Linked DNA regions of Arabidopsis thaliana. The protein of the gene in region 1 interacts with the protein of each later gene in a pairwise test. Each region holds a gene or a part of one and is shown on either strand. Other genes may lie near its edges. The genes, in order: MEE60, SOB3 and AT3G15800.

Evidence for each region.
Region 2: the proteins of MEE60 (region 1) and SOB3 interact in a two-hybrid assay, tested with the Arabidopsis thaliana proteins (one large-scale study listed by BioGRID).
Region 3: the proteins of MEE60 (region 1) and AT3G15800 interact in a protein complementation assay, tested with the Arabidopsis thaliana proteins (one large-scale study listed by BioGRID).

What each region holds. Positions count from the first base shown.
Region 1 is NC_003076.8:1,787,138-1,790,544, reverse strand, and holds MEE60 (maternal effect embryo arrest 60), read right to left. Parts: upstream 1,808-3,407; 5' UTR 1,732-1,807; coding exon 1,204-1,731; 3' UTR 553-1,203; downstream 1-552. Other genes in the region: AT5G05960 (Bifunctional inhibitor/lipid-transfer protein/seed storage 2S albumin superfamily protein), read right to left, coding at 1-289; ROPGEF5 (ROP guanine nucleotide exchange factor 5), read right to left, coding at 2,182-2,712, 2,798-3,160, 3,243-3,407.
Region 2 is NC_003070.9:28,702,958-28,707,331, forward strand, and holds SOB3 (Putative AT-hook DNA-binding family protein), read left to right. Parts: upstream 1-2,005; 5' UTR 2,006-2,574; coding exon 2,575-3,483; 3' UTR 3,484-3,734; downstream 3,735-4,374. UniProt on the Arabidopsis thaliana protein: Transcription factor that specifically binds AT-rich DNA sequences related to the nuclear matrix attachment regions (MARs). Acts redundantly with AHL18, AHL22 and AHL27 in the regulation of flowering and regulation of the hypocotyl elongation.
Region 3 is NC_003074.8:5,343,089-5,347,721, forward strand, and holds AT3G15800 (Glycosyl hydrolase superfamily protein), read left to right. Parts: upstream 1-1,900; 5' UTR 1,901-1,962; coding exon 1,963-2,475; intron 2,476-2,899; coding exon 2,900-3,217; intron 3,218-3,531; coding exon 3,532-3,900; 3' UTR 3,901-4,059; downstream 4,060-4,633. Other genes in the region: MBD11 (methyl-CPG-binding domain 11), read left to right, coding at 121-183, 597-1,298.

The DNA.
Region 1 (3,407 bases):
TAGGAATAGTCATCGAGATCTCTGGCTTTGCTCCGGAGCTCCTAGCTGTGGAAGAAAGCATGACAGCACAAAGGCATTTTGGATTCTGCCCCATCTGTTTCACTCGAGCACAGCAAATTGCTGACACTTTAGCAGATGTGTCTTGTGCAGCCATTGCACAAGGAGCCAACTTTATGGCTTCTCTGTCTGGAGGATTTCTCCCACATTCTCCAGCCCCATAAACCATGGTTTTAAGGCTGTAGATGCAGAGAACTAGGAGGAAAATGCGAGATAAAACATGGGTTTCCATTCTTGAGTGATGAGTTGATGCATATACTACTAGTTATGGAACCTAAGTTTTATAGCAACTGAAATTGCAGGAGGATTTGGAAGGATCAGAGAAATTCCACACAGAAGTAGTGGAAGAAGCACTAAAGGAACATAGTAATTACTTCACCTAATCAGTCGCATTAAGAGCCTCTAAGTGCATAGCTATTTTAATCTAAAGTAAGATCATGCTGCCCTTTAGTCTCTAAGCTAATCATTTGAACCTTTGAAGAAAGCAAAGAGGTATTTTTACATGACAAATGTAATAGCATAAACCAAAGAAAAAGCTTCCAAAAGTATGGTTTTATGAGCCTTCAAGTTTTAAGCTGAAAATTCACTGATCACCTCATGAGATCTAGATATATCAGGTTCCTTTTCTCCAGTCCTCAAAGCTATTTTTTCATACAATTATGCATACAAAGCAGTTCCCGAGATATGTGGGAATGGGATAGTATACAGAGGAAATCAATCATTCAGCTTAGTCAGAAGACACAAAACTATAAACAAGTGAAAAAACTCTATCCAAATGAGGAACAGAGAAAAGTTGTCTCTTTTTGATGAATGATTCCAAGTAGACTCTGCTTTATCAATAATCCAAGAGATCAAACCAAACAGGCATCAGAATCCAGCATAATCTCATACCCATTTCCTGGGATCAAATCAGTTTGAATGAATCCACCAGTTAATATTCCTGATAAAACACACATAAGTGCCTAACTCCAATCAAATCTAGAATATCATCTATCCAAAAACTCAGACACTAAACTTAAATCAGAAGCCAAACCAAGAGATTTACAAAGAACCATATCAAACATAGAATCATTCTCATTTCCATCATATCATCATCATACAAACATAACCCTAATTGCATCAACCATGGAATCAAAAACCATGTCTCTAACGAGTAAAAGCATATAACATAAGAGAAACATAGATGAAAAGTGCAGAAGGAACCAGAATCACAAGCGGCACAACAGCTGCATAAGTATGACCACTAGCACCACAGCCCAAAGTCCCAAGCTTGATCTGAACAACATTAATCAAAGCCAACATGAGAAACCCACATCCACAAACCGATCCCAAACCGGATGTAACCATCCCAAATCTAAGAGCCGTCTTGTTCACATAGTAAACCACAGGATCGATTCGAGTAGAGATGTGAAACGAAGAAGCTATGTTGAGCCTCATTGCTTGTTTGAGACCTAGAGCGATGAGACTTGAGAATAGGAATGATGCGAAAGAGTACACATGGAAGGCGACGAGATTCTCAGCCATACGAGCTGTGGGGACGCAATTAGGGTCGGTTACGAGGCTGTTGTCTGGATCGGTAGGGTTCCAAGCTAATCCGATGAATACGGCGAGTGTGAAGAGTGAGTTCACGTTGACGATTCCGTCGAGAGCTGTGATGTGAATACTCGTCGTCATTTTTCTCTCCGGCAGATCCGGCCAATCAGAGAGAGAGCTTCGTTCAGAAAGGAAATAAAAAAGGAGGAAGAGATTTAAAAAAAAAAAAAATCGCCGTTGCCGGGGATCGAACCCGGGTCACCCGCGTGACAGGCGGGAATACTTACCACTATACTACAACGACATTTTGTAGTGGGTTACAAAAAGAAACATTATAATCATAACTTTAAATTATACACGTTATTGGTGATTGTTTACCAAATAAATAAAGCTAGTAAACCAAACCAGAACAAATTTGATGAGAATATTTGTTACAACCACTCTCATTTTTGTCTATTTTGTGATCTGATTTGGTTTGCAAAGATAGACACTTTACCATTCCAAATAAGACAGAAACTACAAGTAAATATCAAACAAATCAATCCATGTCTGCATTAATTATACACTCTATTGAGTTTCTTCTATTAGCTTTTAAGAGACAGTGTACTTTGGAGGACCCTTTTGATGGACTGATGTTGAGTTTCTTTTCTTCTCTTCTTCCACGTCTTTGCTGATTTGGTTAATCACTGCTGTATCTGCATTATCTGACGGATTAACGCATATTTTCAGTTTTGATTCCATGCCAAGATAATTGTTCAAGACTCTTCTCACTCCATATCCTCGAGAAGGAAGACCTTTCTCAATGATTTTGTTAGTGTCCTTGCTGGAGTAAGGTGTTCTCCTCTCTCCTTTCTTGGGGCTAATCATTGAAGGAGAGAAGCCTGGTGTTGTTGAGAAGCTTGTTCTATATGGAGTTCCTGATGCAGATATTAGATAAGGGAGTGGTACTACTTTCTTGTGAGCTATAATGCTGCTGACCGCTGGACTTGACAAAAGATTGTTATCATCTGATTGCTTTGTTAAGTCGTCCACGTAGAGTAAATCATCGATTCGTGCTATGATGTTTGATGCTAAGCTCTCCAAAGCCCTTGAGTAGCTTTCGAGGATTGATTTCCCAATATCCTGAAATTTTCAAAGGACTGAATATATAAGAACAAGCAAAGCCATTTTGTACTGTAATGTATTTAGAGGATTTGTGTGTCTGGACCTTGTTCCATTGAATCTTGCTTATGTCTAGAGAAGTCTGCGTTAGAGAAGGAAACCGCTGCTTCAAGCAACGTAAGAGAGTTTCCGATCTCTCCACAAGCAATCCCCTTTTGTCACCAGCAGCCATTAGTTCTTTGACCATTTCCCATGTTAACTTTGGAGTAGTGCTTGAAGTATTATTGTTGACTCCAAGTTTTGTTTGAACTCTTCTCCTCCAAACATATATCGAAGCTTCCACACGGTTTGCGATATCAAGAGCAATATGCTCAGAGGACAGATCAAGGCAATCGAGAAGAGACTCCGCAGAAAATTTGTCAGATGTTACATACCTGTAGATAACATCCCCAAGGCAGGACCTACCGTTCTGTACCAAAAGTTTAATGTCAGAACAAAAAAAAAACCTTACAATGGTTTTTATAGGGATGTTTTGAGTTAAAGATGTAGACCTTTGGAAGGGTTTCAAGGTATGATTTAGGAACATCCATTTCGGTTAAAGCAAGGCTGTTAATAGCCATTGCAGCTTTAAGTATCTGCGTCGCACATTCCCTCTTATGATTCAATTCTGTTCTTGCTTCTTCAGTAAGACCATTCGGTGCTAAACGAGGAACAGG
Region 2 (4,374 bases), on another chromosome or scaffold:
GACTCATATTTATATGTAAGAAATAACCTTTGAGTTGAAAAGAATACACAAAATAACTTAGAACCAAATAGTACTTGTCGGTTACAGAAATTTTGGCAATATTTAGTCTATTTTAGCCTTTCTCTTTCTTCTTCCTTCTTTTATTTCTTTTTCATGTTCTTTACGAGACTTTAGCCATAGAGTTCTCTTTCTCTTTTCATCTTTAACACAATTCATCTTCTTCAGATTCACCATGTCATTTTCTTTTTCTATTTCTCTCTCCCTCTCCTAAAATAATCTTCACCACCTCTCATAAAATATATCATCATATCTCTTTATTTTTGTTCACCCACATGTTCTCTCTTTCTTTTTCCATAGAAATCTCTCTATCTCTCATTCTTTATTTTCTCTTTTTACCTGAATTCTCCGTCAATGTCGTTGTGATATAAGAGATTAAATTTGATTTTAAAACAAATATCTGATTTTAAAATGCATGTATTTTAAGAACAAAACATGTTATTAACACTAATATATTAATATTTGTCATGCTATCCAACAAAAACTCATGAAATAAATAAATATTTGTCATGTTATCCAATAAAAACCCATGTAATATTGTAATTTTTTAAATTTCGCAATCTATAAGAGAATTGCATGCTTTTTATAAATATTTCGTGCTATTTCTGAAAAACACATTATTTCAGAGAAACATATATATCGTGTATATATATTCTGTATGTATTTTAAAGAATTGCATGCTCTTTTGTAAATATATCATATTATTTTAGACAAATACATAAAAACTTTATAACTACAACCACCGATATTTTTGTAAAAACAAGAAAATCTAAGGATATTTTAGTATTTTATCCACCATAGAAAATGTTATTTACCTAAGTTTCCTGACACAAGGCTATTCTCTCAATTCTTTTCAATTCCATGGTTACTTTCTAATATTACCCTATATAATATTGATATTTTCAAACTTTTGATGTAAATATGAAATTTTCAATGTAGAAACTTAACACATGTCACTGGAGAGATGATGCTTTTTATATGTTTATTTTAAACAAATCCCACTTAAAATCTGTATACACTTTTTTGGGGTACCTTATGTAGATTATATCGAATTTCATGAATTTCTAACTTAGAAAGTTAATATACATTGATAATAAATAGTTTGGTCTATATTTTTTTTACTATCAATAATAATTTATAATTAGTTTAATAAAAATTGAAGTGCACTCACTCATGGTAATAGTTTTTAATTAGTTTTAGAATATATGACCAAGACCAAAAACATTTTGAAACTGAATTTAGTTTTGAATAGGTAGAATCTCGGTTTTAAAGAAAATGATGAAATTCATAATGGAAGGCGTTACATGCACACGCTTCAAGGCAATTCGATTCATGGCTAACATTTTTGATTCACTTTTATTTTACTTTTTGTCATCTGTTTATTCTGTTTCAATTAAGTGTCGTTTTAAGACTTTAATTTTGTTTCAGGATAAATTTTATTTTATATTTTCAATGCAAATATTTTTTTTTGTTAAAATTTCATGTCTTATCTATGTTTTTCTAACAGATTGACAAAAAAAAAATCTATGTTTTTCTAACGTATTAACTGATGAAAGAAATATAATTGTGTATTAATGAAAGATAGAAGTGAAACTTTAATTAAATTTTAATACTATATGTTAATTAACTTTAAACAGCATATAATGATAAATGGTGGGAGTATTACATTTGTTTCTAGGGAATACTGCATTATTATGCGGACAAATTTGATATGTAACTTTCAAAAACTTATACAATAATTTATATTTAGACTTCTCGTTTGTTTTCTATATAATAATTTCCAACAACTTTATCAAAAAAAATAAAAAAAAATTCCAACAATTTAATATCAGCATGTTTCTTCCATCTCCTATTCATATACCTTTGGCTTTTAAATTGTAAATTTCTTAATTTCCTTTTTCTTTAAATTTTAACTCTTAAAAGTTTTCCTTTATTTTCTTGGTTTGAAGCTATATGCCAAAAAGGGAAACGCATATATCCAGAGAAGAAAAACTCGAAACCCTTGTCTTTTCATGGATTTCAAGTATATTATTAATATGCAATTATTCGTATATTAATATATGCCCCTATGCGTATTTTATTTTTTAATGCGAAAGGAATGATATTCAGCTAAATTTTCGGTGTGTCTATTGCTTTTTTTTTCCCTTTCCTCGTTCAAAAAAAGTACTTGCAGAGTCACTCACTCTCAGTCTCAGCACATGAATTAATTTGAAGCTTCCCTAGAATTCTTTCACATCAATTAATACGACACCGTCTCGGGTGAAGAATCTCTCCTCTCTTGCCCTAAAGCGAGTTAGGGTTTAACACACAAAGCATACCCTTTAGATTTGTGTCTCTTAGCTCTGTTTTTGTCGGCTTGTGTAACCGATCAACTCAAGCTATTGGCTCCTCACCTCCTGAAATTTGACTTCTCCAATGGATCTCAAAGTTTCTCTTATATGAATTCTATCTTCACCCTCACAATATCTTTATATATATGAGCCACAAGAACAAGAAGAGTCAGTAGATGCGGCTGCCATGGACGGTGGTTACGATCAATCCGGAGGAGCTTCTAGATACTTTCACAACCTCTTCAGGCCTGAGCTTCATCACCAGCTTCAACCTCAGCCTCAACTTCACCCTTTGCCTCAGCCTCAGCCTCAACCTCAGCCTCAGCAGCAGAATTCAGATGATGAATCTGACTCCAACAAGGATCCGGGTTCCGACCCAGTTACCTCTGGTTCAACCGGGAAACGTCCACGTGGACGTCCTCCGGGATCCAAGAACAAGCCGAAGCCACCGGTGATAGTGACTAGAGATAGCCCCAACGTGCTTAGATCTCATGTTCTTGAAGTCTCATCTGGAGCCGACATAGTCGAGAGCGTTACCACTTACGCTCGCAGGAGAGGAAGAGGAGTCTCCATTCTCAGTGGTAACGGCACGGTGGCTAACGTCAGTCTCCGGCAGCCGGCAACGACAGCGGCTCATGGGGCAAATGGTGGAACCGGAGGTGTTGTGGCTCTACATGGAAGGTTTGAGATACTTTCCCTCACAGGTACGGTGTTGCCGCCCCCTGCGCCGCCAGGATCCGGTGGTCTTTCTATCTTTCTTTCCGGCGTTCAAGGTCAGGTGATTGGAGGAAACGTGGTGGCTCCGCTTGTGGCTTCGGGTCCAGTGATACTAATGGCTGCATCGTTCTCTAATGCAACTTTCGAAAGGCTTCCCCTTGAAGATGAAGGAGGAGAAGGTGGAGAGGGAGGAGAAGTTGGAGAGGGAGGAGGAGGAGAAGGTGGTCCACCGCCGGCCACGTCATCATCACCACCATCTGGAGCCGGTCAAGGACAGTTAAGAGGTAACATGAGTGGTTATGATCAGTTTGCCGGTGATCCTCATTTGCTTGGTTGGGGAGCCGCAGCCGCAGCCGCACCACCAAGACCAGCCTTTTAGAATTGAAAATTATGTCCGTAACATAGCTGTAACCAAATTTCATTTCTCAAAATTAAAAGAAAAAAAAAATCATCTTCATTGTTTGGGGATCGTTTGGTTTTTAATTTAGTTGATCATATATGAATATTTGAATTCGTCTTGAGATGATATACTTCTCCATCTGCATTTTCTCTTCTTTTTTAATCACTAGGGTTTCGTGCTGTCCCTATATATTATTTGTTATATGCTTGAGTTCACAATAAAAGTGCTATTAGAAGCCAATTTTTATATATCACTTAGTTACCTTTGTAATTGGATAACAAAAAAGTTATTGAGTACATTTTATAGAAATATTGAAATGGCTCATACTTGTATATATCATGGATGTGGTATGTGTAATCCCCTTTTTGAGTAGTTATCAAAGGTAATCACTCAATCTATGTTACTATGTCTATCAAGTAATCAACCAACAAATCAAACATCTTGTTCTTTTTAATTCATCTAGATACCATACATGAATCTTCGAGATTTTATGATTTGAAAATCTCTAGATTGAATATCTTGTTTACGCATGGAATCTCTGATTTAGTACATGTTTCACCCAACTGAGTTCTACATTGTATTTCGATGAGATCAATATGAATATTTCTTCGTTTTTATCAATTAATCACGAAAATAACGCGTTAAGAATCTACCAAAAAGTAAATAACGCTTTAGAAATTTTACGAAAAACTAAATAACTATTTAGAATTTTATGAGTTTGTTTTAAAGACAGCGGTTACTGTGATAATTGCATACTATATTTTTGTCGATTATAAGAAAAGATTCGCCCACCCGTTACAACGATATAAACATGATTTTTCGACGGTTACAAGTTAATGGCTTAAACACGAGAACATTACATGACCTGCC
Region 3 (4,633 bases), on another chromosome or scaffold:
CCTAGGTTGTCTGTTGCTTCATTCGTGTAAATTGTTAAATTTTTTGTTTTTGTTTTCTTGGCATTTTGTGGTTGATCTTTCTAATTTGTTTTCAGGGGTTGCTAAAGGGAAAGGAGAGAGATGGGTGGTGAAGAGGAAGTTGTTTCTGTTGAGCTACCAGCACCTTCTTCATGGAAGAAATTGGTTTGTTTTCTTTGTTTCATACAAAGACTTAGAATTTGTTGTATATGTGTAGTGCTGCAATTACCAAATCTTTTTCTTTGAAGACTCTGAATATGGTAGCTTTTGGTGGCGAAATGTTAGTATAAGTGTAAATAACTTTATGTTGATTAGGTGATTCAAAGGTTATAGACTTAGAAAAAGCCACATTTGATTGTGTTTGATCTACTATTTCTACTTCTTTGTTCTTGACTTAATGCCTCATTTTGACTATGTTTGATTTACTTCTTACTTTTCCCGATTCTTATGGATTTTAAGCCACTTGTAAACATTGTTTAAGCTACATTAAGGTCTTCTTTAGAATTTAATCTTTCAGCGTTTTGAACCTCAAATTTTCATATTTTCAGAGGTTTACATTAACTGACTTGTTTTTGCAGTTTTACCCCAACAAAGTGGGTTCAGTGAAGAAAACAGAGGTTGTGTTTGTGGCTCCAACGGGTGAGGAGATTAGTAACAGAAAGCAGCTGGAGCAGTATCTCAAATCGCACCCTGGAAACCCCGCGATCGCAGAGTTTGATTGGACGACTAGTGGGACACCTAGGAGATCTGCAAGAATCAGTGAGAAGACTAAGGCTACGCCGTCACCAGATAAAGAGCCACCCAAGAAGCGAGGTAGAACCAAATCTCCAGTGTCAAAGAAAGATGCAGAAGGTGAGAAATCAGAGGGAGGAGGAGAGGAAAACTCTCATGTGAAAGATACTGAAATGAATCCTCCAGAGGGAATCGCCGAGAATGAAAATGTGACCGATAAGAATGGCTCCGGTGAAACTGAGAGGGTGAATGATGCAAAAGAAAACATTGTTGCTGAGGAAACTCCAAATGCGGCTCCAGTTCAAGAAGAGGGTGAGTCGATGAAGGAGAAAGCTCTGGATTCTGTTGATGATAAGAGTAAGGAGACTGACAAAGAAAAAGATACTGGCTCAATCGAAAAGAACTCGGTAGATGTAGAGAAGAAGACCGTTGAAGCTAGTGATGAGAAGAAGAATTCTGAAGCTGAGACCAGAAACCATGAAGAAAATGGTCTGACCACAGAAGCTGAGGGGAAAGAGAAAACAGCAGAAGGAGAAGCTACCGGATAGCCCTGTTCTGCTCTGCTTCTGTTAGCTCATGAAACTGTAAGTCAGTTGTTTCTATCAATCTATTGAAGTATATGGTTTCCTTTTTGCTTCCTACTCGGAGCATTATCGCGGTGAAAGGTGTTGTTAGGCTGAGATATGTATTATGAGATATGTGCAAGTTCTGTTTGGTTGTAAGGTTATGTAGAGGATATATTATTGACTCTTCTCTAAAACCATTGCAATCACTAGGTTTGATGTTTTATCTTTCTGCTACAATCTTTAGTCATTTTCGTATGGATGGACAATCAAGTTATGAACAAGTCAGATTAAAGATCCACACATAGATTAATCTTCTAGATTTCTTTTTATCATTGGTTCAATCTTCATTTGAACGCCATAAAATGGGAAACCCAAATAAAAAAATGGAAGAAAGCAGAAGAAGACAAGAGGAAAAAGGTAAAAGTTTTGCTTTGAGAGTAAAGTAAGAATCTAATGCAAAGAAAGACTTACAATGTTAGTTTTCTTATTTCCTTGATTCCATCCTTTTGCATGGTCCCAGGGACGAGGGTTTAGAATCTTTCTATTAAGGAACAACTTCATAGTATAAACTCTTATTGTTCCCATTTTAGGATTAAAAAAAAAACTTGCTCTGTTTTCAAAAACATCATTCGAGACAGTATCTCAAATGGGTTATTGTGTTCCTCTTCGAAAGTCTCCAACTTCACATATGGTTTTCTCTTCTTTCTTCCTTTCGTTTCTCTTAGTCTTCTCTATACTCTCTTCACAAACGGCCGTAGCATTCATCGGAACATATGGTGTAAACTACGGTCGCATAGCGGATAATCTTCCGTCTCCTGACGCGGTAGCAACTCTCCTTAAATCAGCAAAGATTAGAAACACCCGTATCTACGATGCTGACCACTCTGTACTCACGGCGTTCCGCGGGACCGGGATTGAAATCATCGTTGGCTTAGGCAACGAGTTTCTCAAAGACATTAGTGTAGGAGAAGACCGAGCCATGAACTGGATTAAAGAAAACGTCGAGCCTTTCATACGAGGCGGTACTAAAATTAGCGGTATCGCGGTGGGTAACGAGATTTTAGGTGGCACCGATATCGGGCTTTGGGAAGCTCTCTTACCCGCAGCCAAGAACGTTTACTCCGCTCTTCGCCGTCTCGGTCTTCACAATGTCGTCGAGGTACATTACCTTAATCTTGCATACCAAACATGTCGCTAAAACCATGACATCTCGAATTTGCTTATTTTGTTTGGAAAAAGTTTTTTTAAAAGATTGCACGTTTAACCAACGTTAAATCTCATAAATACATTATTTTTTTCCGAGTAAAGTTGAGAATTTTCTTACAGACAAAATGATCAATCATTTTTTTGTAACCCAAAATGATTCAGTTTAAATATATAAATCTATTAACCTAGTAACAGAAGTTTGTATTAATGATATGACCATGTCGATCATAATCCAGCTAAGATACGTTAGTAGGCATGCATCAATTTGGATTTCTCTTTGAATTTTTTTCTTTTTAAATCATCTCTAATATTTTTAGGACATCAAACTTAGAACTTAAATGATGATTTAGCCTAAAACATTCAATATTTGTTTATAGGTGTCGAGTCCACATTCAGAGGCAGTGTTTGCGAACTCGTATCCACCGTCTTCGTGTACGTTCAGGGACGATGTGGCGCCGTTTATGAAGCCGTTGTTAGCGTTTTTTTGGCAAATTCAGTCGCCGTTCTACATTAACGCCTACCCTTTTCTTGCATATAAATCCGACCCGATTACAATTGACATCAATTACGCCCTTTTCGAGCACAACAAAGGCATCTTGGACCCTAAAACCAAGCTTCATTACGATAACATGTTCGACGCCATGGTCGATGCTTCTTATGCTGCTCTCGAAAAAGCTGGCTACACAAAAGTCCCGGTACGTCCGATCCTTATTACTATCAACCCTTTTTTTGTTTGGTTTCCATTAACATTTTCCCTTTGTTACAAGCTTTGCAAAGTACAAACGTAAATGTCAAACTAGACTAAAGACATTTTTTTGGGGTCAAAAACATGCATTATATGAGTTTCAACTGAATAATTTGACTCGTTATATGCATTTTTATTTTTCTATCAGTAACATGCATTTTTTATCTTTTGCTATCAGTACTACATGCACTAAGCTACATGTCTTGTCGTACGCGGATTTAAAAGCGTCATGCGAACCTGATTTAATCATTTAATTGTACCTAGGTGATTGTTTCGGAGACGGGATGGGCATCAAAAGGCGATGCAGACGAGCCTGGAGCGTCGGTAAAGAACGCGAGAACATATAATCGGAATCTTAGGAAGCGGCTGCAGAAGAGGAAAGGAACACCGTACAGACCAGACATGGTGGTGAGAGCTTACGTGTTTGCTCTTTTCAACGAGAACTCGAAACCAGGTCCCACTTCCGAGAGAAACTTTGGCCTTTTTAAACCCGATGGTACTATTGCCTACGATATTGGCTTAACCGGACTCAAGTCCTCTTCTGCCACACGGTATCGTTTTAAGTCGTCTCTTGTTTCCGCTTCTGCTTTCACGTGTCTTCTTCTTCTTTTTCACCGGTTGTTCCACTTGTGAGATTTGTGATTTTTTTAATTGGTCCTTTGATTATCAAGTTAACCCGTAATTCTTGATTTGCTTGTGATTAGTCACTTTTAACTTTAAAATGTTAATATACGAGCTCCTAATTACTTTGTGTAATGTCTTCTTGAAATGATATTGTTTAGTGAGGGTAAATGTTGGATTTTTCTACATTATTCTCTAAATATTTCATCCCAAGTCAAAAACAGTTAAAGAAAAAGTTTATTACATAAGCTGCATATGTGAGTTTTTGATGGGACTCAATCACATGAAAACATCACTAGCTACATAACTATTTAAATGTTGTGTACTCACATAAATTTTGATCAAGTATTTGTTCTAACTATAAAATTATTTTATTTGTTTTGTCCATTGTCTACTTGGTATATATAGCTATCAACCATGTATTTACGTGAGCATGAAAATTTTGATTACGTTAACGAATCAAATCTAGAGAGTGCATTAGTCAAGATATATCTTCTCTCTTTATTAGATGCCTATATAGTTTTCTTATAAATCTTATTCGACCACCTTCTATTTATGTATTAATATTCCTACGCACTCTCTGATCTTGTGTCAACTAACACTAATAAAATTATTCATGAGATTCAATTTCCACTTGGCAGTAAACATGTGTACGATACACGTTACATCTCTCCTATATATTAAAAAAGTTAGTACTTCGATAGAAACATTTTGCAACTAACACAATAAATAAAAATTTATCAAT